7 separate regions of the Mus musculus genome follow, and all the other regions are reported to be linked to region 5. The links are microRNA targets in miRTarBase. Many come from high-throughput screens and were not tested one by one. Region 5 holds a microRNA gene; each other region holds the end of a gene's coding sequence.
Evidence for each region. Region 5 holds the annotated microRNA mmu-miR-181a-5p (AACAUUCAACGCUGUCGGUGAGU, at 2,959-2,981, shown strand). A microRNA usually pairs through its seed, bases 2 to 8, with sites in the 3' UTR of a target mRNA and lowers its output. Matches are read on the target gene's strand: a 7mer-m8 pairs with bases 2 to 8, a 7mer-A1 pairs with bases 2 to 7 and ends in A, and an 8mer does both.

Region 1 (4,067 bases), not on the chromosome of region 5:
GATTTTTTTTTTTTGTGACTTAATTTGCTCTGAAAGAAAGCTTGCGTACACACAAAGTCTAACTTTCAAAGGGAGAACTTTGGCTTGAGGGGAAAAAAAAAGAATGAAAAATTACAGAACTCAGAAGGTTTCAGCAATACAGGATTTCTGTGCTACAAGAAACACAGGAATGGTTTGATGACTTTAAGAACAGTCAGGTGAAATTAGAGTATTTGTAAGTGTTGTGATGTGAACTCTTGGGGCCTTACTGATGAGTCTTCTCTGCCTCCTGCAGGCTCTGTGTTTTCTCCTGAGTGGCATAGTGGTGATGATTGGAAGCATGGGCTTGATTGTGCTGGATTGGGTCCACGATGCCTCCGCTGCAGGTGGGCACTAACAGCTCCCCTCACGCTGGATGGTCCATCCGCCTGCCTACCGTGTTGAGTCGACTCAGCCTGCTCAGTCTCACCTGATGCGTCCCGGTCACTTCCTTTTGAAGTGCAGTCTACTCGCTGGTTCTTCTGGATTCAGAATAAGTGAACTTTTCTTTCTCTTTGGTTTTTTGTTTTTGTTTTTGTTTTTTTTTTTTAAGAAGCTATCTGTGTGTTAGGGAATGGATAGTACGACAAAACCACGAGCCTTGGGTTAAGGGAAGTGACAAGTTTATTCCATTCCAGAGAATGGACGAACTTTTAACTTTTTATCAAAGCCACATGTTTGGCTGTCTCATTGTTTAACTTGGATATTTTATGATTTTACTTGAATGTGCCTAACGGAACCATTCGATGTGAGAAACACTTCTTAATTTACAGCAAAGTATTGAAATAAGCATTGAGAAAATACACTTATTTTTTGTACCAAAAAATACTTTAAAAGACCTCAGAAGCACTATTTTACTTTGAAGAAATTGCATTTTTGAACTTTACTCAGAACCAGTTGTCAATAAACTCCATCAAACAATTTCATTGATATTTAAAAATGAATATTAGTATTATGAAATTATTTGCCTTTTTTGTGGGCATTATAAGCCAAATACTTTTTTACCCAAAAATCATTTTCGGGAAAAATGTTACAAAAAATTGCACCATGGATTAGCATGGTTTTGTTTTTGTTCATTCAGATTCATTTGAAGGATAGTTGGTCGTTGCTGCACCAAGTCAGGTGAACTCCGTTCATCGCTTTCTTTGCCTCCAAATAATTGGTTCATTACAACTAAAATGTTTATGTCTTCAATTAGTCTGGGAAACAGTGCCGAGATTTCTGTAGGAAATGAAATAACTGATTTTGAGGTACCAAATAGTGCAATTGGGTAAGACAGGGTTTATTCAGTTGCATCGGTCTCCAGAGTTACAGTGTCAGCTCTGGGTCGTGCTTTTTGGGCCCATCCTTTAAAACCTTGCTTCCAAAAGTGAAAACGGGCGTTTGATGGCAATAGGCCAAAACTGTCCAATAGAGAGCAGAACTTCCAAAGGCTCATCTACTGGAAGCGTGGTTTACTTGACAACACGCAGCTCAGTGGTGCTCCTGCTGTGTTGGCAGTCCAGGCTGCACCATGCAGGTACACTGCAGGCCCTCCTCAGAAAGGTTTCTCATGCAGCAAGCTTCCTAAAAACTCGAACTGGATCATCATCTCATTGAATGAGATGCAGAATCAATTTGTTTACATCGAACAAATGATCAGCTAGGGGAGGCGGGACAAGCTGCCTGTCCTCGGTGTCTGGTCCAGCCGCATGCTTACCTTTCCATTTCAATTCCAGTTAAACGTGAAGACATTACTTGGAAGCTTGGCTTTAAGAGCACATTTACTGTCTGTTAACGGTGTATGGTGAACATATTTTTAAATAATGAGGTACTTTGCTCATCAAGCGTATTGTCTAAGGTCTAATTAATATACATAATTCCATTAAGTGGTGGAGGGAAGCAAGTAGAATCGTCAATTGGTTATCTGGCTCTTGAAACTACATGTTTTGAGTTTGAGGCAGGGGCCAGAAGAAATGTGACACACATGGTTTTTGTTACAGTCTTGTATTGTATATGTGACTGAATTCATAGGCAAGGTATGTCTGCCATTAAAGACTCTTGCAGACTGGAAGACGTCTGGTAGTGCTACATACATTGGGTACAACCAATGGTCAGTTCTGTCCCAAGATGAAACCCCTGGGGACTGTGTAGACGCAAAGGCAGTGAGAAGACACTCCCCCATGCTGCTTACTTGTCATCAAGTCCAGAACCTCACCTGCTCGTCAAAGACTCTGCACCTCCGCTTGAAGTCCTGGAAAGAGTCCTGGCTACCATATGCCAGGGGATGCTGAGAGGCAGGCATCCTGAGAGGTGCCATGACAACCAGGATCCTGTTCACAGCCGATCAGTGTGGAGAGACTTCCCAAACCTCCTGTGAGGGAGCAAGGTTCCAAATGAATTTCAGGCCAAATTCCAAAGCTTGGGGCTGTTTTACCCGCCTTGAGGTTCCTGAACTGAATTCTCAGCCTTGAGCAGTCTTCAGTATTAAAACCACTGTCCCGTCACCTCAATTCACATCGCTGTCTTCCATGGAACGTTTCAATAACTGTACTGTTATTTATAGAGCAGCATTAATCCATTAAAGCTAACCTATTTTTCAATATTTATGATAAACTGTACATATATTGTCCATATGTATTTGTAAATAGATTGTATATACTGTTGGAATTGGGTTCAAGTGTATATATTCCCCTAAGTTTCTTAACTGCATTTTGATGAATTCACATTATATATGTCTCCAAATTACTTGTACAGAGAATTCAATCTTAAGAAATTGACATTGTGTATAATACTAAAATTGAAAATAACTTGTTTAAATTGTATTTGCAATAAACTGGTTGGACATCAACTTAAGTTCAGATAATCTAAAGCTTTAAATGAGGTCTAAATTTTCAAAATGCAGTAGCTACCACATGGCTATCTGGTAACATGTCAAGTGTGATCTCAATGAAAGAGGACTCCTTGTATGTATATAGTGTAAATGTCCCAGCTGTACTGTTAGAGGCCAACATGCCTCTGTGGCCTGTTGGCAGAGAGTAAATGCTACACCGGTTTCAATGAAACAATGTATGTTTGTTTTAACTGAACTAAAATAAATACATGATTAATCAATCCTCAGTAGGATTTTTTGTTTCCTTCTGGGTAATGAGTTGAGGGCCAGAGGTACGTGTGGAGGAAGAAACTGTTCTACCAAGCTTGCAGAGTTAAAAGTTAGGGAGGTGAGCTGGGTGTGGTGGCGCACGCCTTTAATCCCAGCACTCGGGAGGAAGAGGCAGGCAGATTTCTGAGTTCGAGGCCAGCCTGGTCCACAAAGTGAGTTCCAGGACAGCCAGGACTATAGAGAGAAGCCCTGTCTCAAAAAAAAAACAAAGTTAGGGAGGTGGAGATCCAGGCTTAACCATGCTGGTGGTAACCTGTCGTGCATCCAAGTTGACAGCAGTGCTCTCTGGCATTCGAAAGCAGTCCTGATGCACACTGGACATTAAGGAATCCTGGGTGTGAGAGGAAGTCAGGTTTTGATGGTTGTGAAGGCATGGTCTTCCTTAGGAACCTGAACGGCAACTTAGCTTAGGTATAACCCAGTCCTTTCAGGTTTTAATAAAACAAAAGGCTTCCAAAGGCACAGGTCTGAGAGATGTCCCAAATTTGCAGTGCCATTACAAAATGGCTAAGGGCTTATGCAGAGCTAAGGTTTTAATAGGCATCCACTGGACATCTACTGTGTGCAGTTGACGTCGAAGTAGTGGTGGGGTTCTGTCATGTTGGTTCTGATGTTGGTTTTGATCTAGTGCTTTGTTAGGCTACAGTTTAAGCATTTAGGATTGGTAATGCATGGGGGGGGGGGGGAAGTCCACAGAGTGTCCAGTGGCACTAACCAGTGAGCCAGCCATTTCTAAGTGATTCCTCAAAGCCCTTTGAGACATTGAATCAGACATCCTCATACCTGGAGAGATGACTTGGAAGAAAAGCGATGATAACCTGCAAGTTGGCATAAGCAAGATGTGGTAGGTAGAACATTGGGTCCCTGGGAGGGTTATGCAGATGTGTACGTCAGTGGCCTTGCCAAT
Region 2 (4,067 bases), not on the chromosome of region 5:
GCAGGTAAGAAGAGTAGCTTTAAACAGTTTAAGGACTTCATAGTTACTATTAGAAATGGTTTTTGCATTTATGTTGTATGTGTATGGGCATGCATATGTGTAATCTTTCTTTCTTTTTTTTTTTTTTTTTTTTGGTTTTTTTGAGACAGGGTTTCTCTGTGTAGCCCTGGCTATCCAGGAACTCACTCTGTAGACCAGGCTGGCCTCGAACTCAGAAATCCACCTGCCTCTGCCTCCCGAGTGCTGGGATTGAAGGTGTGCATATGTGCAATTATAACCCAAGTGTAGGAGTTAGTTCTCTCCTTCCACAATATGGATTCTGGAGATCAAGCTCAGGGTGTCAGGTACTGTAGTCAGTGGCCTTTATCTACTGAGCATCTCACCAATCCTATACACATACACACCTTTTATACTTTTTTTACCTTCATGCTAAACTTTTGTTGTATTTTTTAATTTCAACAACAAAATCAGATTGATATAGTAGGTCTGTTTGGTTTAGTTGTACATGGAGCCAAAAGGACCTCCAAGAATTGGCCACAGGCAACCAGACACCTCATTTCTCTAATGCCTGCTCTCTCTTCCAGATTGGCCAGGATTCTTGTCCGCCTACCAGCACTCAGGCTCATGAGCTCCAACATAACAGAAGAACTTTTTTTTACTGGTCTCATTGGCAATGTTTCAATAGACAGCATAATTCCTTACATCCTCAAGATGGAGACAGCAGAATATAATGGCCAGATCACTGGAGCCAGTCTATAGTGCACAACCAACAGCTGCCAACAGTGGGATGCCTCCTAGAACTGTGCAGGTGCAAGGGAAGGGAAGTGTAGCAGTGTCTTGGTGTGCACAGGTGTCTCCAGTGTGTCAGCCACTTCTTCCTGTTCATCCCAGACAATAGCAACTAAAGATGAACTCTTCCCTGCCCTAAGAAATGTTTTAACACCTTTTGGTGATGCAGATTTTGGAACAATCTTTTAATTCAATTTGTATTTTAAAATTCTCAAAGGGCAAAAAACAATACTGAAGTTTTATAATGTCAGAGACTAGTATTAAAAGAACCTAAGAACAGTATGTGTAAATACATTAAAAAAAAAAAGTCCTTGGAATTAATAGCTACTAATTACCAGGGTAATGTTAGCACTTTCTAAGCACTTCTTATCAAATCTGCAATGTTAACATCTTACCTGTGGACAGGGCAAATGGAAAACTGTGTCTCTTTTGTCAAAATGCTAATGATTTCTGTGAAAATTCACTAGGGTACAGGAGACAATCGTTCACATTTGTAAGAGGGCAGCACTTCTAGCTGTGTGCAGTGGTGGTGCTACGCTAAATTCCTGTGAGTAAAATGTGGATTCCTGGCATTGTGTGCAGGGGATATAACTTGCAGTGACCCAATAAGAGCTGCTATGCCAGCAGAGATAGCCTGTCAGGGTCCTTACCCTCATGGTTGGTCCCAATCCCTGATGCCTTTCTGCAGACTCTTCCAGAACATGGGCTCCACTAATTTTCAGAATTAGATTGCAGCTTGTCAGAATGCCTGTGATAAGGGTCCTGTAATTCTTCCAGTGACTGAAAGTACACCTGGATCCCTCTACCAACTTGTAGGAACTGGAGCCTTTGACCAGAGTGCAAGGTGGTTGACTGCACCCTTTGACATGACCTGTTGTCCAGGTTGAGTGTGGCTTCTGCAGTGAGAGTTCCTATTCCTGGTGCATGTGGAGAGGGGCCAGTATCTGATCATTCAGAACCTGCAGCTGGGTGGGGGTTGTGTATCCTCGCTGTCTGGTGAGGGACTGGCCTTAGATTGTGAAACAAAAGGCATCAAGAGAAATACTTTCTGATCTTTTAAGTATTAGTGATTTTAGTGTACTGGGACACGATGTTCTTCAGTTCTCCCAGGTATGTGCTAGTCCAACAAAGCTCTCTGGGGCATTTGAGATAACAAAAGTAGATCATCTTCTCTCTGAAAGAGAATCCAAAAATAATCCTCAGTCAGGGCACATAGTGCAGGCCTGTAACCCCAGCACTTGGGAGGCTGAGGCACAAGAATTATACTTTGAAGGCCAATCTGCGCAACTTAATGAGGAAACTCCTGAGTTTTAAAGGAGTTTAAGGGAGTGGGGTAGGGTGGTGACTTAAGTGGTAATGTGCTTGCCTAGCATGCACAAGGTCTTGGGTTCCATCCCCAGTACCAAAAGAAAAAAGAAAAACCTTCATTCACAAATTCCCTTACGTTATAATGACTATAGTTTCCAACAAGAAAGAATACAGAATTCAGTTCCAAGGAAGTTAGATCTGACTTAAAGCTCTTTGCATTCCTATGGACAGGAGACTGGGAAAAAAAAAAGTGGAAATATACTTGGTATTTGCATTTAGATTAGCAGAACTTAAGCAAAATACCTCCTGTAAGGTTAAGTTTGTACCTGTTTATGGGCAGGTACAGCCATGGGGCTCAAGGCTAGATAGGCTGTTTCCTTTTGAGGAGTTAATGACACTTTATTCACTGCTAGTGGGATTTAAGTACAGAAGTATCTCTAACTTCTAAATTCCCAGCTAGATTTGGAAGCCAGTGTTGGAGAACAGCAGGGATTGCCAGTATAAAATGATGGAAAGGACATAATTTTGCCAGCTTAAAGCTTTTTTTTTTTTTATGTATGTATTCAAAATTAAGACAAAAGCTCTGGACACCAGTATAGTTCGAGTCTATTTTAATCTCTGTAGAGATTCCTGTAGTACATTAATCAGTACACCTTACAGTGCTGGCTTTGCTTCCCTTAGGGTTTTAGAATGTGAGCCACTCAGACAGGGCCTGGACAGCCTGGCTCCCATTTGGTATTTAGACCACATAGTTGGATAAGAAGTACCAGCCTCTAAGATGACACTGAAGGGGGAAAAATTTTTTTTTTTTTAATATAGAAAAGAGTTGGTGATTCTAACTCTGGTCCTTTGTAAGTTCCGTCATTAGTAATGGCCAATTGACAGGGCCACTTTGGGCCAAACTCCTTCACTGGTTGTCCAGATCGTTGTGGCCTTACCTTTAACAATTGTATCCATACAATGTTCTCATTAACTGAAATCATTTCAAACTTTGAATGATGCTCCATTCCATGGCTTGTCGAATGACCTATGAAGGTCAGCCCCAGTTGCTTCTGGGCTTCAGCTTTCAGGGCTTTCCACCCTTGATTTATGAGTCTGTGATACTCCAAGCCTTATGAAGCAGGGCTGACCTGTCTAGACACCCCTCTCAGGGAGGTGGACAGACACACTGACCTGGCTACTTTTGCAGATAGGCTAGGGTGGAGAGATACACACCAACCCTGGCTAACTAGGCTCTTTTCCAGAAAGGTCTTAAATGTTGATAGTTCCATGTTAAAATTTGGGATAAAATATGACAGGAGATGTAGACAGAGACCAAATTCCTTAAGCAAGTCATCCTAGTTACTCCTCAAATGTTACAATGTGTCGCTGTCCTTCCAGTTTGCAGTGTGTGTTGAAGAGGCTCTTCACTGCCTCTTCTCTTTCTGAGGCTGCAGTTGGGGTTGTGGTGTCTTGAGTTTCTATAATGAAATTCAAGTGAGTCACTTATGCCCTTGGAATGGTTTTCTAGTTTGTCAGTGTCAGTATTAGATGTGGATGGTGTTCTGAGGTAGTCATGGCATCAATCAGGGTGGTCAGTATGGCTTTCAAATGGAGCAGCAGCATCCACACTATATAAAATTGTTTTGAAGGGTAGTACTGCTCATGCAGTTCTCTGGTCAGTATCCCTAAGAGCTGGACCTATTGTCTGGGACCTGATGTCATGGGGGTCTGGAAGACTGTTGCTGCTTTCCAGTGGCTGGGTGCAGCGGGGCTGTTGGTGCTGCTGAAATTCTAGATCCAGGCCTTGAAAAGCATCACTTGACAGCTGCTTTTTTTTCCCAGGGGGAAGGTCCTGGTAAGACAGATGCCCACCTCTTTCCTTTGCCTATCTCCAATTACGGAGAACCAATCTCCAGATTACGGTTCTTTGCAAAAAGTCTTAACTCTTATGTCAATTTCTAAAGACAACTCCAAAATGAGATGAGGTT
Region 3 (4,067 bases), not on the chromosome of region 5:
CTAAAAATTTTATTTATTACTATTGTGTGAATGCAAGGTATATATGCATCACATGATGCATAAGTGCTACTATGTGTGTGTGTGTGCATGTGTGTATCAGAATCTGTGCACACACACACACACACATGTGCATGTGTGTGTGCACATAGACAACTTTCAGATGTCTGTTCTCTTTCCACCATGAGTTCTAGTGCTCAAACATGTCTCCAGGCCATCTTGCTGGCCTTAATTGCATCTCTTTTTTAAGGGGGGGGGGTAAAGGGGGTATGGAAAGAGAGGGAACCGGAACCCCACACTTGCAAGGATAGTCAGAGCCCCAGCGCAAGAAGAGCAGAGCGGTGGCCGTGTGCCTGAGTACGCATGTAATGGTCGTTCTGTTTCATACAGTCATGTTTGTGCTGCTGGTGCCAAACGTTTGAGGAAAAGCAGTCCTTGGAGGAGAAGCAGTCCTGCCTGAAGTTCAAAGCCAACGATCACGGATATGACAACTTCCGGTCCAGCAATAAATACAGCTCGTCTTGAAGGCAAGAACACTCGCCGAATCTCACTGTCCTCATTGTGGACAGATACCATTAAAACAAAATGAAACCGTTGCCAAATCAAAATGGAAAAAACCATGCTAGCAGAAAGGTGTGCGCGCGTGTGAGAGGGATTATTTTTAACTGTTCTGACGCTCAACACCGGATATATTCACGGGCTGTTTACAACCTAAGAAAGCTGTGGGAAGGAATGAAGCCCTCCTCCGTGGGGAAGCACTTAGATTCTTAGTCAGCACTTCAGCAGAGCTCTTAAAAGCCCCTAGTGCGTTCACATGCCACTTACGTTTAAAAAAACGAGAACTTCACTGAAGTTCTGTTCAGGAGTTTATTATCCAGTCCTATGAATCTGGATTCAAGAAAGCATGACATTGCAAAACAATTCTTAAAACGAAGTTTCAATTGCTTAATTTGAAACTTAAAAAAAAAAAAACTAATAAATTTTTATGCATACTATCATACCCACTAATCTGATTGTAACTATATGCAAAAGAAAAGGCAATATGGTTGGTAAACTTTTTTGGTCATTACCAACATTGAAATGATCAGAATTCGGGGGAAGAAAAGACAGCCTGCGAATGCCACAGAGAAAACATGGGAAAGCGTGAGCTGCTATGCCTGAGACTTCTGAAATTCCCTCACACATACTCTGCAGAAAGACACAAAACAGAACACTACCTATGATTTCTTTAAAGTTCTTTCAAATATCCTTTCATGATTGAAGTTTAAATTCCATGTGTTCAACTTCATCATCTGTAAATACTTAGCTATTAGCTATAAGCACTACACGTAGAGGACTTAACAAAGGGCAGGTCCCAGCGTTCGTAGCTTTCTGACAAAGAGATGCCAGTAACCCGGTTATAGACAGAATGTGAATTGCCCGGTGCAGTGTCCACATGGCAAAGAAGCAGGGAGCATCCTTTCAGCCATGCTGTAGAGAAAATGGTCCACAGCACAATATGATAGCGAAAATACCGTGGTTTAACGCCATAGAAAATAGTCACTGTAACCAGCTCTCTCGGAGGCATACTACCAACTTTTTATGTTATTCCTGAAAATAGCCAATAGAAAGGCGTTCTGGACATGGTGCTTTTTCTAAAACGTAGAAGCCAAACTGCTTCGGGGTCTGCAAGATCCTCCTCTTTGCGCATTCTTGTCTAGGTTTTTTTTTTTTTTTTTTAATCTCCTTCCACGACGTGCCTTAGGTTCACTCCGGATGAGCGGTGTGTGAAAGAATGCCCAAGAGAAAACTGAAGAGAGAGGAAATGAGGTGGGGCCAGAGGAAGCCCGTGGGGAAATATTCCCATTCTTAGCCCTGTGTTCGTCACTGCCACGTCATGTCGGTGTGAAAGGTCCTGGTTCGGCTCCAGCAAAACAAAGCGCAGCGTTCTCAGCGTGACTCGGGAACAAACCAAGCCCGAGAGCTTTAACCTTGTCTTAAAATATAACAGATTTTCCTTCCTTCCTTTTTCTCTTTCTTCTCTTCTCTTCTCTTCTCTTCTCTTCTCTTCTCTTCTCTTCTCTTCTCTTCTTTTCATAACCCAGGCCACATGTTGAAAATGAGCTTAACAATGCAGTTTTCTACCAAAATCATTGTGACAATACAATAAACCCAAACGGGACAATGAGGTAAAAAACCAAGAACAATACTGAATCCACGTGACACATGACTCTCTTTAGGAGTCACCCACAGTTCTTGTGTGTACAGATTGCTTTTTAATCATAAAGGACGCCCCAGATCTTCAATTTTAAGTTAGTTATTGGCTCCCCAGTAGTTTCACAGCGTGGATATATTTTTAATTTTTACTAAGTTTTAGATTGGTTTTATTGTTGTGTTCTAAATTCTTAAGTCCTAACATCTTTGTTTAACCCAGATGTTCCTTCCCTCTTCATGGGCAATAATCGTCCTGCCAAATTATGAAATGGCATAAGAATACTATTCACATAATATATACAATAAAACTATATTAAGTGGCTTTTTTATTAAAAATTTTAGCACACAGACCAAGGGTGATAAGAAAAAAAACATGATTCCCTTGCATAATTAAAACCAAGATAAGAGAAGGTACCATCTAATTTAAAGCATATTTTCTAACATTTAAGTAGCCTAATATAGCAATGCATAAAAATAGTGTTAACAAGGATGTTAGAGGTCAAACGATTTGTAAGTGACTTCAGCCTATTTTCTCCCAAATTATTTACTGCTATTTTTGGTCTGTGTTCAAACATTTTCAGTATTGATAATGTGCAACAGCCAAAGGAACACTGTTTTCATCCAAATGCGGGTGTGTTGTACCTAACATGCACTTGTAATAAAGCCGTGTAAAATAACTGTGTTTTGTTTTGCTCTGGTCACCTAAAGTGGCAGCTTGTGTCGTTGCTAACTTCTTGTTGAGTAAGCAAAACCAATAAACGTTCAAATGGTTTAAAAGAGCAGCTTATCTTTCGCTACTCATTCATAAATCCTAAGTCAATCATTAAAATGAATAGAGATGCTGTAACTGTGCCTGCTCCTTGCCGGCAGGCCCAGGAGAGAGGAGAGAACTGCTGGTCCCGCCCACCGGGGTCTCTCTGGGGCTGAGCAGGATGGTGAGTGTCCACAGCCCAAAGAAACGCACCGAGCTGGGAGTCTTGTTGAAGCAGGAACTCAACTTTATGGCATCAGCCTCTCTTAAATAAGTTCAGAACATTGGGAGGGGATTTTTGGTGGGGTAAGATGACATTGAAGACATGGAATGGTGACAGAGGGTATGGAGGGACTGACAATGGCAGAGCTCTACATCAGCAACAGGGCAAAGGCAGGGCCAAACAGGTCTTGCTGAGTCACTCTGATAACAGAAGTGACTGAGGCAGGTCACAAAATTAGAGCCAGGCTTAGGCTCTCCCACAACGCTGCAGAAACTCGAGCCAGGCTGGGGCTTATCCTCAAGGCCCAAACCAGGGCCAAAATGGGGCCCAACAGTAAATGGACATCATTTATGTTAAACACATAATTATCAAGGAAAGTGAATTTAAATGCCACTATAATGGCCTTGCTATGTCTTATTACACATATGTAGCTATCACTCATGGTTGATCATTTTCTGATCACACATACTTAGCCATCCTTCCCAGTTGATCATTTTCTAATTTCACATATTGGGGATCCTTCTTATGTACACATAGAGAGTAAGGAAAGTTCTCTCTGAACAGGGTGTGTGCCATCTCCATTCTGTGCGCATGCATAAAAGCTGTAAGTGAAGTATTGGTGCCACATTTTAAAGTATGAGTGAGTGAATAAGCCAATAAGCATCTTAGGAAACTTGCAATTAATGTGGGAGATGCATGAAGAAGCAAAAGAAAAAGTCCACATGATTAGGCTTGATTTTCCCAGAGATGTAAGACAAAGGAAACCAAATCAAGGTGCTTAATATTCAAAAGAAAACTTAGAAATTCAGATAGTGCTCTTGAAATTTGAAAATATGGTAGAAGAGATAAAAGACAAAAGTCAAGACCTCCGAAGGCTAAAATTGACAACAAATAGCATGTGAA
Region 4 (4,067 bases), not on the chromosome of region 5:
CGACCGGGCTCCCCCACTCCTGCACCTGGTACGGGAAGTGGAGGAGGCAGCCCAACAAGAGGGACCCCATTGTTCCCCAATCATCGTTCACTGCAGGTGGGTTCTCCTGGCCACCCACTGGAGCCGGGCCACCCCATCCCTGGACTGCTCTGTCCCTTACCCCATCATCCCCTTGGCCCTCAGTGCAGGGATTGGGAGAACTGGCTGCTTCATTGCCACCAGCATCTGCTGCCAGCAGCTGCGACGTGAGGGCGTGGTGGACATCCTGAAGACCACGTGCCAGCTCCGTCAGGACAGGTTAGCCCGCTGATCAGGGGAGGAGAGGGTGGCAACATGATGTGAGCGTGAATCGAGGGATAGCTGACAAACCAGACATAGTGTGTAAGGTGGCTAGGGAACTGAAAAACCAAATGGGAGAGCACAGAATCCAGTCAGCTCTCTTCTGGAAGAAGGCAGAAGAGAGGCAGCTGGTTTGGAAAGACAGTGCTGAAAACAAAGGTGTGGCCCTGAAAGGAAGGGGCAGAGGGCAGTGGCTGGGAAGAGTTGGTCTCTCTAAGCTGCAGACTAGCTGGTGCCCCTAGTGTTGGTGGCCCTCCCGCAGCCTACTGCATCTCTACTGGGCAGGGGTGGCATGATCCAGACATGCGAACAGTACCAGTTTGTGCACCACGCCATGAGCCTCTATGAGAAGCAGCTGTCCCTCCAGTCCTCAGAGTGACCACGCTCTTCCTCTGAGATCCACTGGGTACTGCCAAGCCTGAGGCTGGGTCTTTACCCCAACTACCCAAGATCTTGCCTTGGGTCCTGGGCCTATTCCCTGGCCCTCCCCCTCATCCTCCCCTCTCTTCAGTCTGTTCCCCATCTATTGTCCTGGCCTGGTCCCTACCCCAAGCCTAGCTCTCCTACTGTATATACTGCAGAGTTGGGGAGGGCAGGGGAGGAATGTGCCAGGCCAGGCCTGGGGCCCCTGGGCCTGACCCACACCATATAGACCTGAGGGCCTCAGTTTTAACCATGGTTCCACAGCTACTTGGTCCAAAATGTTTCCATGCCACACCCCAAGTGTCCTACCATAATGTGTTCTGTCTGTCCATCTATCACAGCTATTTGTACCAAACACTGTGTCCCCTCAGCCAGGAAAGGAGCACTGAACTAAGCTCTCACCCCTCAGCCCTCACCCACATCCCCACACCAGACTCCCACCCTGCTCCCCAGGCAGAGATACTGACCTTCCTCTGGCCCCACTGGCTCCTCTGCAAAGGCAGAGTGCATTTTGCTACCAGGATGTGGATGGCAGAGACCAGGCAGGGGAGCACATGATGGTTGACAGAGAGATCCCAGCTAAGACAGTTCCTGGGCAAAGATGAGTATCTCCAGTCTATGTGGCACTGGAGAGGAAGAGGACAGATATAGTGGGGAACCCCAAAGATCTGAGCCCTGAGGGGGGCCTCCAAGAGTAGGATGTGGACAGCTCCAGACCTGTGAGACATCTTTCTGTGTCACTATGGGAAACCGCAAGTGTCTCCCTACATGTTGCTCTGTGTGTGTTCCCTTGTCCATGCGTGTGTTGAGAGCCCATGAACAGGGCATGCATGACTCTTTGGCAACATGTGTTATCTTGGAGCCACGTGTTTTTATTGCTGACTTTAAATATTTATTCCACGGCAAACGGAGACATTTGGTGTCTTTTTTTAATCCGCTCGTGGTCATTGAATAGAGCAATAAACAGAGCATTTTGAGCAAAACTAGCCTCTTGGGTCTGTCATTTCCTGCTCTCTCCTGACACCCTAGGCTTTTGTGTGCACCCCCCACCTCCCCACACCCACACCCACACCCACACCCCTCCCCGCCCCTAGCTCCTGCTTCCCAGCACATGTGCATAAAGTTGGCCCTCATGCTCGCTGGCGCCCCCTGTGGAGATTGTGAATATACATAAAGCTGGGTTTAAAAAAGAAAAAAAAAAAAAAACAGTCTATTAATAAATACCTCAGAATTCCCACTTGCGGGCTGGTGAGATGGCTCAGTGGGTAAGAGCACCCGACTGCTCTTCCGAAGGTCAGGAGTTCAAATCCCAGCAACCACATGGTGGCTCACAACCATCCGTAACGAGATCTGACTCCCTCTTCTGGAGTGTCTGAAGACAGCTACAGTGTACTTACATATAATAAATAAATAAACCTTTAAAAAAAAAAAAAAAAGAATTCCCACTTGCCTTCAGCCCCAGCCCACAGAGGTGCACCACACCATAGGGAACCTCAAAGATGTGTATGGGACGATTCCAGGAAGGCAAAGTAACTAACAGGTCACCAACTACAACAGGTGAGCCAAGGAGCCCAAGGGCAGGGCAAGAAGACATTTCCATCTCACCCAGGCTCCTCTCTCATTGGATAGCACACTCCTTTTCTCTGGAACCCCATCTGAGCTTTAGACACCCTTATTTTTTTTCCTTATTATCCGTGGTATCCCCTCCATGGTTGAATCTTTTAAGGCCCTGCTGGCTGGCCAGTAGCCCTGCCCCAGGGTGACTTCCGTTTCCCAGCAGAGAATCACAGCTACCTTTGCTTCATCCCAGGGGCCAGGGATAAAAGCAGAGAAGTGTCCCAAGTGGCTTATGATCTAGTTCCCTGGGGCCCTTTGTGGGGGAGGAGCTACTCTCAGCCCAGGCCTTACTTCCATGGGAAACTGCTGGTTTGCAGCCGCTATTGGGACCCATGGGGCTAACATGGGGTAAATGGACTAGTCAATAGGTCCAAAGCAGGGATGCCAGCTCAGGGAGATCTCCCACCCAGAGAATGAGCCTTTCTATGTAGATTTCAGACTGAGGAGGAGTAGGAAGGAGGAGGTCTAATGTTATCCCTTGCCCCACCAGGCCACAGAACGCAGCACAAACGGTATTCCCCAGGACTTGTGCTAAGCGGTACATCCACCAGACTCATCGAGTGCCCCTCTTCCCAGTACTGGAGAGACAAACGCCTCTGACTTTTTCCCCAAACCCTGTTAAGCTGTGCGTGCTATTGTGCCCAGGCACGGACAGGCACATATGCCAACCTGAGCCCCTCAGCTTGGAGAGGTCCCAACCTACAGCAGTGAGAAGCAGAAGGCATAAGGCACAGGAAGCAAACTGCTTGCCTGCCGCCTCAGCTTCCCTCAGGCCTGATCCCCGGCATTCTGCCCATTCTTGGGTCCAGCTTGCTCCCCTCCCCTAATTCCTACCACCAAGCTGTGTGCCCCAGTGCTGAGACAAGAGCCTAAGAAAAAGACTCCCCCAAAGGTCTATACAGCATCTAGGGATCTGGCAATGACCAGTGCCTGCTATTGGAACAAAGAGGGAGGAGACCGGCCATCCTACTGGCAGAGCAGTAGCTGAGCCTCCAAGTCACAGGCACAGTATTCAAAGGTTAGAAGGCACAGGTTAGTACAGAAGCTAAGGCTTCCTGCCATCTCCCCTGGAAAGAGCCACGAACTGGTACTTTCTGTACAAGAAAGGGATATGGTCTGAGGCAGAATAAATGGTCTCAGAACCAGAGATGGAAGGTATATAGTAAGGCAGGAACTGGGCACTAGCCTCAGAGCACCTGCTCGGGAGAAGGCTTTAAGCCTGGAGGCCACTGGGACAAGGCAGGGCTGGAGGAGCAAGAATCCCAGATGCTTTTCTTGGTGACAAATCTGGGTAGGTCATTTCAGTCACACATGTTTCCTCATATGCAAAACAGATTCTTAAAAACTACCACATAGCGGGCGTGGTGGCACACGCCTGTAAAGCACTCAGGAGGCAGAGGCAGGCAGATTTCTGAGTTCGAGGCCAGCCTGGTCTACAAAGTGAGTTCCAGGACAGCCAGGGCTATACAGAGAAACCCTGTCTCAAAAAAAAAAAAACAAAAAAAAAAAAACAAAAAAACAAAAAAACAAAAAAACTACCACACAGGTTAACTAAGAGGCAGGTACACCCACTCACTGCAACACCAGGGTTATCATCCAGAACAAAGAAAAAGCCTTGTAAACTGGTATACGGAGACCCCCAAGGCACAGAGAGAACACAGGGGCAGAACTGTGTGTCTGACAGGCCT
Region 5 (4,067 bases):
CCAGGTCAATCAGGTCTATAGGTTGAGTTTCAGGACATCCAAGACTACCCAGAGAAACCCTATCTGGGGGGGGGGAGGGGGGGATGAAAAGTATCTCAAATACAACAGGAAGTATCTCCATATCAAGAACAGGATTCTTGGAATGCTGTACACTGAAGAACAGGTTTTATATTTTAATTTGGTGCAGCAGATATCACTGTTTCTGATTATCTGTTCTAAGTAATATAAAGCTTGACATCTCTTAGGAGACAAAGGCAAAGACCATTTAAAATAAACCTAAGCCAGAGGTTTTAAACTACTACACAGGAAGATACCTTCCTTCCTACCTACCTTCCTTCTTTCCTTCCTTCCTTTCCTTTTTAAAAATTTATTTTACTTATATGAGTACACTGTAGCTGTCTTCAGACACACAAAAGAGGGCATCAGATCTCATTACAGGTGGTTGTGAGCCACCATGTGGTTGCTGGGAATTGAACTCAGGACCTTTGGAAGAGCAGTCAGTGCTCTTAACCACTGAGCCATCTCTCTAGCCCCTATATTTTCATTTCTTTGGGCTTCCATTTCACAACAACCGAACTCAGCAAAGATTACAAGAGAAGAATTTTGGGGCTGGTGAGATGGCTCAGTGGGTAAGAGCACCCGACTGCTCTTCCGAAGGTCAGGAGTTCAAATCCCAGCAACCACATGGTGGCTCACAACCATCCATAACGAGATCTGACTCCCTCTTCTGGAGTGTCTGAGAACAGCTACAGTGTACTTACATATAATAAATAAATAAATATTAAAAAAAAAAGAGAAGAATTTTGATGGAGAATGAAATAAAGTGATGCAGAATGTAAACAATTCCATTTGAACCAAATTCTCGCTGATTTTTTTTTTTTTTTCCCTCTCAAGAAGTGCCATTTGGCTACTTTAAAAATGAATCTTCATCACTGGGCATTGTGGCACACACCTTTAATCCCAGCACTTGGGAGGCAGAGGCAGGTGAATCTCTGAGTTCTGAGTTCGAGGCCAGCCTGGTCTACAGAGTAAGTTACAGGACAGCCAGGGCTATACAGAGAAACCCTGTCTCGAAAACAAACAAACAAACACAAAAAAGAATCTTCAGCTAGGTCAACCATCAGTATTTAAACCCAAAGCGGCTGGAGAAATGATGGCTCATTGGTTAAAGAGTACTGGGGGCTGGAGAGATGGCTCAGCAGTTAAGAGCACTAACTGCTCTTCCAGAGGTCCTGAGTTCAAATCCCAGCAACCACATAGTGGCTCACAACCATCTGTAATGAGATCTGATGCCCTCTTCTGGTGTGTCTAAAGACAGCTAAGGTGTACTCATATATAATAAATAAATAAATCTTTAAAAAAAAAAAAGAGTACTGGCTGCTTTTCCAGAAGACTCAAGTTTGATTCCCAGCACCCATATGTGGGCTTATAACCATCTAACTCTAGTTCCAGGGAATCTGACACATTCCTCTGGCCTTTGAGATTATCAGCCATATACTTAAGCAAACACCCATACACATAAAAATAATAAATTTAATAAATACATTTAAGAAAATATTTAAACACAAAGTATCCTAGATTAGATAGATATTAACCTCAATTCAGCCAGCAGCTCTACAAAGCTTCTATGTTGCTTAAAATAAAGCCAATATTCTGAAAAATGTTTAATTAGTTTTCAAGACTTTTCATAAAAAATATTCAATAAATAGCCAGGCATGATGATACAACCTTTAATCTTAGCACTCAGAGGAAGGCAGGCAGATCTCTGAGTCTGAAGCAGCCTGCTCTACATAAAGAGAGTTCCAGATAAGGGGAGGGGAAGGAAGGGGGAGGGGAAGAGAGGGAGGGATGGGAAGGGAGGAGAGGAGAAAAAAATGAGGAGGAAAAGAGGGAGGGAGGGGGGAAAAGAAAGTCAATAAGTAATAAAAAATAACCACCCAAAACAAAGATCAGATACATCTGGCATTTTAGTTGCTCTGTGTTCTTCTAAAGATTTTTATTTTTTAAGTATGTATGTATGTATGTATGTATGTATGTATGTATGAATGAATGTATGTATGTATGTATGTATGTATGTATGTATGTATGTATGTATGTGTGTGTGTGTTTGTTCAAGTGCCTGTGAAGGCTTGAGTTGACAGATCCCTGCAGCAAGAATTGGTAGTTACAGATTGTGGTTAAGACAGGTGCTGGGATCAAAGTCCCGCCTAGAAAAGTACAAGTTCTTATCTGCTGAGTCATCTCTCCAGATACACTCTCTGTGCTCTAGTACACATAGAATTTTTACTTTTCCTATATGGGGAAAAAAAATCATGGAGCATCACTAGCACTTCTGTGGTAATTTAGCAGCCCATGATTCTCAGCTACTGAGTTTTGTTTTTCATCTTTTTCTCTGAAATATATGACTTTAGATGTATTTTCTACTATTACAGGCAAACAAGAAGGAATTTGCTTGTTTGATTTAGCTCTGCAGTAAAGGTTCAAATCTGAGACTGGTAAAGGAAGGAGAAAGCAACATATCCAACCAATACTGGAACAATGAACTCTGGTGTTCAAGTTCTGGCTATGGAACTCCGGGTAAGTCTCTGTTTCTTAAGGAAAACACGGTTGGAATTAAATATACAAATCCTACTACACATAAGTCCCCAGCATGTGTTATGGTCTTTCTTGTTTTTGTACATTAATAATTAAAGTATTACTACAAAATTGCTATATTGATGTTTTCAGAATGATAGCATTGAAAAATATTTCCACAGATATCCACTTTTAGTCAGCAATGTAAACTGCAGTCTCACAATCCTGCAGCTCATTTCTGCTTTATGCAAACTAACTTCACAGTGTAAGTACTGTTAACTTGAAATTTTGGGAAGAATGTGAGAGACCCAACAGCAGTGGTCCTTAGAATATGAGAGCAGGCCAAAGATGGGCAACCAAGCCAGCCTTAAGAGGACTCCATGGAACATTCAACGCTGTCGGTGAGTTTGGGATTCAAAAACAAAAAAACCACCGACCGTTGACTGTACCTTGGGATTCTTACAGACAACAAGTTTCCTGAAGCAAAGGAGTAGGCTGTACAGATATATCATGTGACAGACATCACAAGATACAGTCCTGTGGCCTCTTTTCTAAAGGGAACCAGCAAGTTTTTTTTTTAAGCTTCCATGTATTTATATTGTCTATTTTTTGTAATTTCTTGATAAATAAGTGTTTCATTTTAACAATTTATGGGAAGTGCCATCATAGTACCAAATGCACTCAAATATCTTCTAGAAATGTGTCATTCTAGTCAGAAATAGGGTGTATTAAAAATGTCTATTTACTGTAGGAAAAAAATCTAGTTAAGTCTTTTATTCTCATTTCTTCTACGTCCTTTCAAATTTTTGCTTTAGGGTCAAGAGATTTACTCAGCAAAAATACTCACAGAGTTACTCACTGTCTATACAAATCATATTGTGCCTCCAGTTTCAGTTACTGCGGTTAGGGATTTGACATCTCCATGAGAGAACCAGATACATTTCCATCTCCATGTGCTAATTTAAGGAATTCTGGGTCATCTCTGAGCCTCCGTATCCAAGTATGTTTTCTCAAATGTAGAATAGGAGAGGAGAGAACCTCAGAGTTTTAATTTAATGAGAAGATATATGAGGGTACTTTGAACAGTTTCTGGCTCACAGCAAATGTTTACTACAAAAATTTTTACTTAACTGCAATCATAATCTATACTGCTTTACCTTGAAAAGGGCACTTAACGTCTCAGCTTGAAACAAAAGATGAAGCAATGTCTCTGAGGGCTCCTTTACAGACATCAACATCCAAGTCTCAGCCCATGTGATCAGAGCTACTTACAAGGTTCTCACATAGTGCCTTCTTCCTCACAACTTTTCTGTCTTGAACAAGTTCTTGCTATACAGTCAAGGTGATCTATAATTATGAGTCCACAACCATACAGATGACTAGTTACTAACATACAACAGACTTCAAAGAACCATAGTGGGAAGAAGAGCCAGGAGATAGAAAAGACCAAGACAATTTCATCAAAAGGAAACATTGATGGCTGCACTCAACAT
Region 6 (4,067 bases), not on the chromosome of region 5:
AGTGTAGCCTCTGTGCTGACAAACAGTAGACTGTGGCCCTGCTTCAGCTCCTGAGAAGAAATCGCCGCTGACACTGCAGGTGCCCAGAGTATTGGTAACCAATGTCACTTGTGCTCCCATTGCATAGTGTAGTGTGCTATGGTATAGTTACTGTACTATAATATATATAGTGCATCATGATATATTTTTATTCTTTATAGTAAGTAGTTTCTAATAGTTGTAGCCTCTGCTTATCTGATTGCTATTAATTTTTCCTTCTGAGATAGTTTAACTGGGTATATAAGTATTGCATTAATAATGTTACTTTAACATCCCACTGCTTGTTGAAATGAATTAAGAATCTAAGATTAATCACTAATATATCACTTTATTGGTAAATAATCTCTGAATAATAGGCCACTTGGAATACTGCACAGGCCCACATTTTAGTTTCTTTGAACCAAATAAGAAAAGTTGCAAGATGTTTTAGTGTAAAAATCAATTTATTATACAACAATCACACAGAATGCTTTTCATCTAAAAGAAAAATGGCTTCTGCCTCCCTTTCCACCCGAGTCATGATACTGTGTTCTTCAGATGCCATACTTTCAAAGGAAAAAAAAAAGTCCTCAATTTCCAAAGAAGCGACCTCTACTAACATTCTTAAGTGACACAGGAATGTTTGGAAGGACTAGAAAAGAATGGTCTCTAACATACAAAATGCTATTCTGCCCATTTTGGTTTAAAAAAAAATTCTCTGATGTGGGAAGACAAGAACTTATCCACCAATATGTATAAATATAATTCTGATGGGTTGACATTTTCTATGCTTAATTCATTCAGCAAATATTCCATTTTATTTTAAAAGTTGGGGAAATTAAGGTTTTATAGTATCTAAGTACTTTTGTTCTCATGAATAAAAGGGAATTCACTTGGGAAAAGACGGTTTCCTATCAGATTATAGAGACTTTTTTTTTATACTTCTATTTTAGAAAATTCACACTAAGAATGAATGGGTTAAAAATCTTTCCAGATGGCATTTTCTCAGCACAGATTTCGTAGCTCTGCATGGTGTGTCAGCCCTTGGGTGGCTTAAGGCTTAGTGCTGCGCTGGGCTTTGCACTGGGAGGTCTAAAGCTGGCTGGTACTGTGAGCTGCCACTGTTGATCTGCTATAGGAAGATAACACCCTTTGTGCTACACAGATGTGAGGTCATGAAAACAGCCTAAACTGAAGGTACGATGCACAGCGCGACTTAAACGCCTCTCACTGGCGAGCAGGAATAATCTGGTACAATGGCCAGTGATGCCTCTTGAGTCTCATTTTTACCCAGAATTCATTTTACTAACAGATTTCAGATTGTGTTTGAAAACTAAAGCTGAACTCCAGATTCACCAAGGAGTTTGTTCCTTTGGTCTTGTCATAGAAGGACAGTAACATACTCAAAGCTAACCCTTAAGATGAATTCTTGGGAAAGAAAAACACCAATTTGAGGCTAAGTCACCAGAGATGGTGGTAAGAAAGCACCCGGGAGCAGATCAGTTTGAGAAATTGTTTAGAAAATGCACTGAAGCATAGGTGGTCACCAGACAGGAAGAGTCTGTTCAACAGGAATGACAGACATGGCACAGGACATCGGACTGTGGTGGTTTTCAAAATACACCAGTGAGAAGGGTGGTATAGTTACGAGTTTAAAACATCAGTACAATTTTTAACAGGGAAAAGTTAAAATGGGAGCTTGCCCAGAAAGGAAGACAGGGGTGGGCAGGCCCCGCCGTTGGCACTCGAGGAACACCTACCTGGTGCCCATGCGCTGGGTGCCAGTGCCATGAACCAAGAACACATTTGCTGAAATGGAGGGGAAATAGAGTAAGTTGTGTTTTGTGTATGTTTTGGGAAATGCCCTTTTTCACACCTGGTATAGATTAACAGTGGTGATCCATCAGTTTGAGGAAAAGGAGGTGGTCCATTGCCTTGCTCAGGCTCTGTACTAGGTTCTCCACAGAGACCACAGTTCTGAGCAGGGACAGCATTGCTGCTTGAGCCAGACACATCATTATGGCTTAGTCCCACCCCACGAGATCGTTCCAAATGACTGCTATGCTTTTCTCCTCTCTAACAGTTAAATTTAACTCATGAAGCTTGACAGCAATGGCTTGCAATGGTGTTCACGAGCAGGCTCAGCAACTGCTTGCAATGGTGTTCACCAGCAGGCTCAGCAACTGCTTGCAATGGTGTTCACCAGCAGGCTCAGCAGCAACAGCTGACAAATAGAATGTCTATTTTGCCCCTGGGGCTCTGTTGATTATGATTTGTAAATATTCCAATTGCATTTCTATGCGAAGAAGAACTGCAATTGGACAACTCCAGCCTTTGTTCAGAAAGGGCATGGCAGCTGTATGTAGACACTGGCTTTGGATGTGGGGAACATAACTCCAGAAATCTAGACTAACAAGGGAGGTAGACAGGAATGGATGAGCAAGGATGCCAATTGAAACAGAGACAGCTCTGTTCAAAGCCCCTGAGTTATGATTTGGCAAACACATTTTTCTTTTCTGGTTGAGACAGGGTCTTGTGCCTGTGTACCCTAGGCTGTCTCAATACCCAAATGCTGGACTCACAGATGGGTGCCACCATACCCAGCTCAAGAGGCTGTTCCTTCATGGAATGACTAATCTTCAAACTATATTGAAGACAAACGAATTTCATTACCACATCACTAAGTTGGAAATCAGAGGTGGTTAAAAAAAATGTAGCAGATGAGACTCCTGGCTTGAGAGGGGAAAGGGTTTTGCTGGATTCTGTCTTGCTAAGGATCCCGCTTAAATGCTGCCTGGGGCTGCTGCCTTAAGCAACAGCAGACTAATCGATTTATGCACTGACAGTTATTGCTTGACATAGACTAGAACAGACCCTGACATTTACACTACAATGAACAGTTTTACACATCTAAAGAAAATTAACTCTGAAGACTTGCCATGAAGAAACGAAGCCCGAGTCTCCTGGTTTTCGACGTGAATAAGGCATTACAAAGCGCTCCGGAGAGGGGGCTGTGCACCTGTTCAAGGTTTGTAGAGGTCGGCATGGCTCCAGTTAGTAGAGTAACCTAATAGCAATATATTATAATACATTCTGGGTACAAATGATTTACAAACTCAAAAGGAATTAGTTTATGCTAAAACATACAACTTTCTATTCAGTCTCTGCTTTAAAACAAGCTCGTCTGTTTGCTGCCGCCGCCGCCGCCGCCACCACCTCAGTTTGTGTTCCCCGGCACTTCATTTTATTGAGCCTTCTTGTCCGTCATGCCATTAGCCACAATTAAGTGGGCTTTGGGGAAACCATTCTTCACTTCTTTCTCTTGCAGCTCTTTCTTCACTGGCTTTTTCCGGTATGTCTGTCAGAGTGTAGACAGGAGAAGAAGCAGGGAGGCATTTTAATAAGGCCTTGTCTCTAACTCCCGACATAGCATGTAGTTAAAGTTCTACACAGTTTTCCTTGGCGTTGGACCTTCTAATAAGAATTTGTTCATTTTTAAGCCTCTGCTGCAAAGCTCAGGTAAAAGCCAACACAGACACATGAATGTCAGACAAAGCTACTTCACTTTATCTGAGTGACATCATAATTTGCTAGCGATCAATCTCTTTCATTGGTTGTTCACTTGGAAAAACATAATAACTTCCTTTAAAATTCAGAGTAAAAGGAGCTGCTATTTTATGTTTTTTATTTTGAGATTGCAATTTAATTACATCTTCTGATTCTGACAGGGCTTTAGTACTATAGATGGAAAGCAGGACTCATACATGGTAAGGATGTCAACTGCCACAGAGCTCTATGCCAGCCCTGGATGTCCCTCTCTGTCATTCTGATGAAATACCTGGTCTGTCCTCTCATGTTTGCTTATTGAAACAAAGTCTCACACAGCTCAGGTTCGTCTCCAACTTGCTATGTAACCCACAGTTACCTTGATCATCTGCTTCTACATCCCTAGTGCTAGGATAGCGGTGCTTTTACATTTTAAAAGGCAATGATGGTATTAGCAAGAGCCAAGACTGGGATGATGTAAGGTCAGAACTAAGATTCAGTCG
Region 7 (4,067 bases), not on the chromosome of region 5:
CCCACCCTGGGACTCCCAGTGTGAGTGCCAGCTTTCCAGAGACCCTCCCCCAGATCTAGGGCTACAACCAGGAAGAACTGCAGGCCTTTGCTTTGGCGTAAGTTCCATGTGATACTAAATATATTCCCTTCTGATTTATTGGTCTTTCTCCCTTAGTAGTGCTGAAAATAGAGCCATGGGTCTCGCATATGTTAGGTGAATGCTCAAAGTCCTGAATACATCCCTGGCCTTCTAATGTCTGATTTATGCAATAAGGGAGTCAAGTAGAAGGCTCATGTGCTGTCTCGGGCTGCCTATCAGTGTGGCTCAAGCCGCAGGTGCCAGCACAAGCATTCTCAGCAGAACTACCATCCACTTTCCTCCTCAACATAAACCTCTGGGCATTGTGGATTCAGACTGGCAAGTACTCTCCTGATGGGGGGACCAGTGCCTCCTGCTGGACCCTCGCCTCCCTTGAACCTTGTTTCAGCTTTCACATACAGCTCCCTCACTGGGGGCCTCTAGGTAGGACCACTGAGCCACACTCTAGCCCATCACTGGGGGATTCTAGGCAGGGGCTCTCCCACTTAGCCACGCCTCCAGAGCCTCCCTGGGGAATTCTAGGCAGGGCTCTACCACTCAGGGGCTCTACCACTGAGCCACAGCCCCAGCCCCTCCCTGGAGCCATGCTTTAGTACAGAGCTTTCTGATTGGTCCTTGGCTTCTATACGTCCTTCATCCCTTCCTGACTCAGCAGCTAGAGCAATTCAGTCGAAATGAATACTAGATAGTGTCACTCTACGGCTCCTTCCCAGCCAATTGCTCCCACAGACCTCATTCAGCAACCCTGTGTCCCTAGCCTGAGCTACTCTGTGTACAGTGTTCATGATGAGAATGAGAGAGAGAGAGAGAGAGAGAGAGAGAGAGAGAGAGAGAGAGAGAGAGAGAGAGCTGTTTCTTAAAATTGTTTATTTTAAAACATGAAACCCAAGCTGAATAGAGACCACAGAAATTACATGGACAAGAACTTTAGTTATTTGCCAAGAAAAATAAAGTTCCCCACAGAAATAAAAATCAAACCCCAAACCCAGTTTAAAAAATGAAAGCACAGCAACAGTAACACACAGCCATGGCCCTACAGAGGCTGGAGGGGAACTTGGGGCTGGCTCGATTCAGATGACATAGTCCACTGGGGGCAGATGCAGGCAGAGGGACCGTAACTGGGAGGCAATCTCACAAAATCACATATGGGAGGAAGGGTGCGGCACACCACCGCTGTGATGAAAAACAAAGAGACCCTGGTCACCTGTGGCCCACCAGCTAGCCACCTTCTGGGCCGGACAGAGCTGGGACCGGGTAGGGCAAGCTTTGGAGCTGGGGTCAAGAATTGCATAGTGATATGGGGGGGGGGGGGGGCGGGGTGGGCACAGGGAGAAGGGCTTGAAGGATGCTCCAGGCCGGGATCTTCTGCTACTCACATAAACCAGAGAGTGTTGGTTGGGGTGGGGGCCTCCAGTCCTATCAGTTTTCTCAGCCAGATCCCTCCTCCTGGCTCGGCAAGGGATCGGGCTCTGGTTTGGTGGCTTAGCCCTCCTTGTTACCCACCAGAGCTGTAGGGTCCCCTTGGGTAATAGGGACTGGGGACCAATCACAGGCAGCTGGCACTGGACTGCTCACTCCCTGGGGATGTGGGGGTGGACCACTGGGATTGAGTAGGTAAGTGGCACCCCAGAAATCAGGAAAACGAAATGAAGCCAACCGCAGTGGTAGGAGCCGTCTCCTCCGCAGGGGTCAGGGCGAGAAACCCCTGCTTTCATTTCCCCTGCTTCCTTTCTTCAGCCTCGGTGAGTGAAACGTCACAGATGGGGGCACTCACGCACAGAAGGTCAGGACTCCCGAGACAGCACAAGTTCACAGCCACGTCCGGGCAGTGCCCGCCTCTCATGCTATATACATTCACCTTGTGGCCTGCTCACGGCCAGGGGGCAGCATTTGTGCTTCTGAGAGGCCCCAGGGCACACCCAGGCACCCAGGCAGGGATACCCCAAACCTCCCTCCGGACCTTAGGCCAGGAACATACCCATAGTGGGCAGGCTGGCTGCAGCTGGGCTGCTCTGGCCCTGGAGGTTCCTGGCGCCAGGCCAGTTGGAGTCAAGGCCAGGGTCCCCTGCACTGATGTTGTCGTGCTTAGGAGCTACAGATGCCCCGACTGGGACCCCTAGGCCCTCCGAGTCCTCTGCCCACTCCTTTTGGTCCCAGACACCAGCACAAAGAAAGGGATTTTGGGGAAGGAAAGCAACGTGGAGCCTCTCCCCTCTGGGGGAGCTGAAGCCCAGGGGGTTCTGGGATCCGTAGCTGCCAGGTTGCTCCAGGAGGGCCACAGGTCTGTAAACCACTGGGTCCCAGCCTTGCCCCTCCCACCACATGCTGCTCCACTGGCCCGTAGCTGCCCATCTCACAGACCAGAGCTCACACTGGCTGGCTGGGCCAGGGTAGAGGCTCCAGGTCCTGATTTGGAAGCTAATTCAGCCCAGAAGCACAGCAAACATCACACACTAAAGCCAAAAGCACCTTAGGCAAGCGGTGTTCTGGGTGTGGGGGGCTGAGGCCACATGGACTTCAGTCCCCGGACCCCAGGACATGCTCCTCCTGGGGCAGCACCTGCCTGGGGAGGGGTCTCTAGGCCCTTTGAGTAGCCTGTGGGTCTGGCCCCTCCCTGGCAGCACCCCACAAAGAAATGACCACTCTAGCCCTGGCTCCAGGCTAGACTTAGGGTCACGCTTGCTGGCTCAGGGTCAGCCAGGAGTGCCCATGGCAGCTGAGAGTGAGGTTAGTGGTTAGTCCCAGCGGGGGGTGGGGGGGGCCTTCTGAGGCTGGGGGCACATTCACAGCCGTCACAGGTCCAGCCCCCAAGGCTGGGCTCCAGAGGGCACTGCCGCTTGTCCTGGGTGAGAATGAAACCGAGAGGAAAGTGGGCAGTGTCCTGCGTCGCCTATGTCCCAGACTGCCCTGGAGATGACAAGTGTGGTCAGTGCAAAAACAAAGGGGAAGACAAAGCTGCCACTCTTCAGGAATGAATGGGAAAGAGGGTTTGGCACCAAGAAGGTGGCCAGCACTGAGAGGCCAGGGAGTGACCTGGGCTCAGCTTGGCACCTGCTGTCTGGGGAGGGCTGGCTGGGCACTGAGGGAAGAGTCATGTGGGGAGGAGGTGTAAGAAGAGCCCCACCCTAGAGGCAGCTCAGAACCAACAGGAAGAGCCAAGTAAGCCAGGTGGCTAAGGGAAGGCAGGCGCCGGACGTTGCAAAGACCAGAGAGTATGAAGGGGCCGTTCGGTGATGAGCAGGTGGGCGCCAGGCACAGGGTCCCCTGCCTGTGAATGGAGATGGGATTCTCAGGAGTGTGGCGGTAGGGCAGTACCAGGAAAGGCTCGCTGTAGCTGTGGGGAGGGGGACGCCCAGAGTGCAAGGGGCAGCATGAAGGGTCACCTGTAGAAGGAACGCAGGCAGGGTGGAAGCACCCGGCACAGAGCAGGGCTCAGGGAGCCCAAGAGGACAGAAGGGCAGGGGAGACGGAGGCAGGCAGGGTCAGGTTGCTGGTGGCAGCGACTGTCCAGGTGAGCACCCCAGAAGCCTCACTTCACAGGCTGGCCCGGAGCTCATGCTGGGCACCTCCATGCCTCCTGCAGGGTGGGTATAGCGGGGGGGCCTTCAGGTGTGCCTAGGGCTGGCCCGGTGTGGCTTGTGGAAGGTCCAGCAGGGCGGAAGCAGCGGTGCTGGCATAGGAAGGGTGGGGCATTGGCACGTGGGGGCAGATGGCTGGCCGGTGTGCGGTCTAGTGCCCGCTGCCGCTGGAGTCGGGGCGAGGCTGGCTCGTGGCGAGGTATTTGGCTCTCATGCTGGAGGTGTACTAGAGGAGAGAGGGAAGGAGGGAGCAGGGTCAGGTGAGTTCCTAGGTGGGGGCTGAGCAGCCAGCAGCCTCTTTGATGTGGTCCTTGGTAGGGTGAGCCACAGCCGACCCTTGGGGAGAGCATGGTTGGCGGAATCCTAAGGTAAGAGGCCACTGGCCCAGGGCTGGACCAAGGGCTGAGT

Region 1: the mRNA of Slc38a2 is a reported target of mmu-miR-181a-5p. Seed matches in the 3' UTR shown: 7mer-m8 at 740-746.
Region 2: the mRNA of Nr2c2 is a reported target of mmu-miR-181a-5p. The part of its 3' UTR that is shown has no 7-base or 8-base seed match.
Region 3: the mRNA of Ednrb is a reported target of mmu-miR-181a-5p. The part of its 3' UTR that is shown has no 7-base or 8-base seed match.
Region 4: the mRNA of Ptpn5 is a reported target of mmu-miR-181a-5p. The part of its 3' UTR that is shown has no 7-base or 8-base seed match.
Region 6: miRTarBase lists Elovl2 as a target of mmu-miR-181a-5p. Seed matches in the 3' UTR shown: 7mer-A1 at 3,106-3,112.
Region 7: the mRNA of Ttyh3 is a reported target of mmu-miR-181a-5p. Seed matches in the 3' UTR shown: 7mer-m8 at 2,861-2,867 and 8mer at 1,931-1,938.

What each region holds. Positions count from the first base shown.
Region 1 is chr15:96,686,436-96,690,502 of GRCm38, reverse strand. It overlaps Slc38a2 (solute carrier family 38, member 2), which reads left to right. Exons shown (of 16, transcript NM_175121.4): 16 at 275-3,111. The coding sequence ends at 376. Among named protein-coding and RNA genes, the nearest start is that of Slc38a2, 11 kb to the left of the region's middle.
Region 2 is chr6:92,166,875-92,170,941 of GRCm38, forward strand. It overlaps Nr2c2 (nuclear receptor subfamily 2, group C, member 2), which reads left to right. Exons shown (of 15, transcript NM_001347342.1): 15 at 585-4,067. The coding sequence ends at 759. It overlaps Mrps25 (mitochondrial ribosomal protein S25), which reads right to left. Exons shown (of 4, transcript NM_025578.4): 4 at 2,638-4,067. Among named protein-coding and RNA genes, the nearest start is that of Gm46967, 11 kb to the left of the region's middle.
Region 3 is chr14:103,813,521-103,817,587 of GRCm38, reverse strand. It overlaps Ednrb (endothelin receptor type B), which reads left to right. Exons shown (of 8, transcript NM_001136061.2): 8 at 388-2,973. The coding sequence ends at 522. All of the region lies in intron 1 of Gm35197 (a long non-coding RNA gene), which reads right to left. Among named protein-coding and RNA genes, the nearest start is that of Ednrb, 29 kb to the left of the region's middle.
Region 4 is chr7:47,075,476-47,079,542 of GRCm38, reverse strand. Ptpn5 (protein tyrosine phosphatase, non-receptor type 5) reads left to right here. Exons shown (of 14, transcript NM_001163565.1): 12 at 1-96; 13 at 184-297; 14 at 625-1,745. The coding sequence ends at 718. Among named protein-coding and RNA genes, the nearest start is that of Mir7056, 5.7 kb to the left of the region's middle.
Region 5 is chr2:38,849,783-38,853,849 of GRCm38, forward strand. It overlaps Mir181a-2 (microRNA 181a-2), which reads left to right and starts at 2,953; the gene lies at 2,953-3,028. All of the region lies in intron 3 of Nr6a1 (nuclear receptor subfamily 6, group A, member 1), which reads right to left. It overlaps Nr6a1os (a long non-coding RNA gene), which reads left to right. Exons shown (of 7, transcript XR_866167.2): 3 at 2,433-2,577. It overlaps Mir181b-2 (microRNA 181b-2), which reads left to right and starts at 4,048; the gene lies at 4,048-4,067.
Region 6 is chr13:41,182,032-41,186,098 of GRCm38, forward strand. It overlaps Elovl2 (elongation of very long chain fatty acids (FEN1/Elo2, SUR4/Elo3, yeast)-like 2), which reads right to left. Exons shown (of 8, transcript NM_019423.2): 8 at 351-3,376. The coding sequence ends at 3,263. Among named protein-coding and RNA genes, the nearest start is that of Elovl2, 36 kb to the right of the region's middle.
Region 7 is chr5:140,619,647-140,623,713 of GRCm38, forward strand. It overlaps Ttyh3 (tweety family member 3), which reads right to left. Exons shown (of 14, transcript NM_175274.5): 14 at 931-3,885. The coding sequence ends at 3,811. Among named protein-coding and RNA genes, the nearest start is that of Lfng, 14 kb to the left of the region's middle.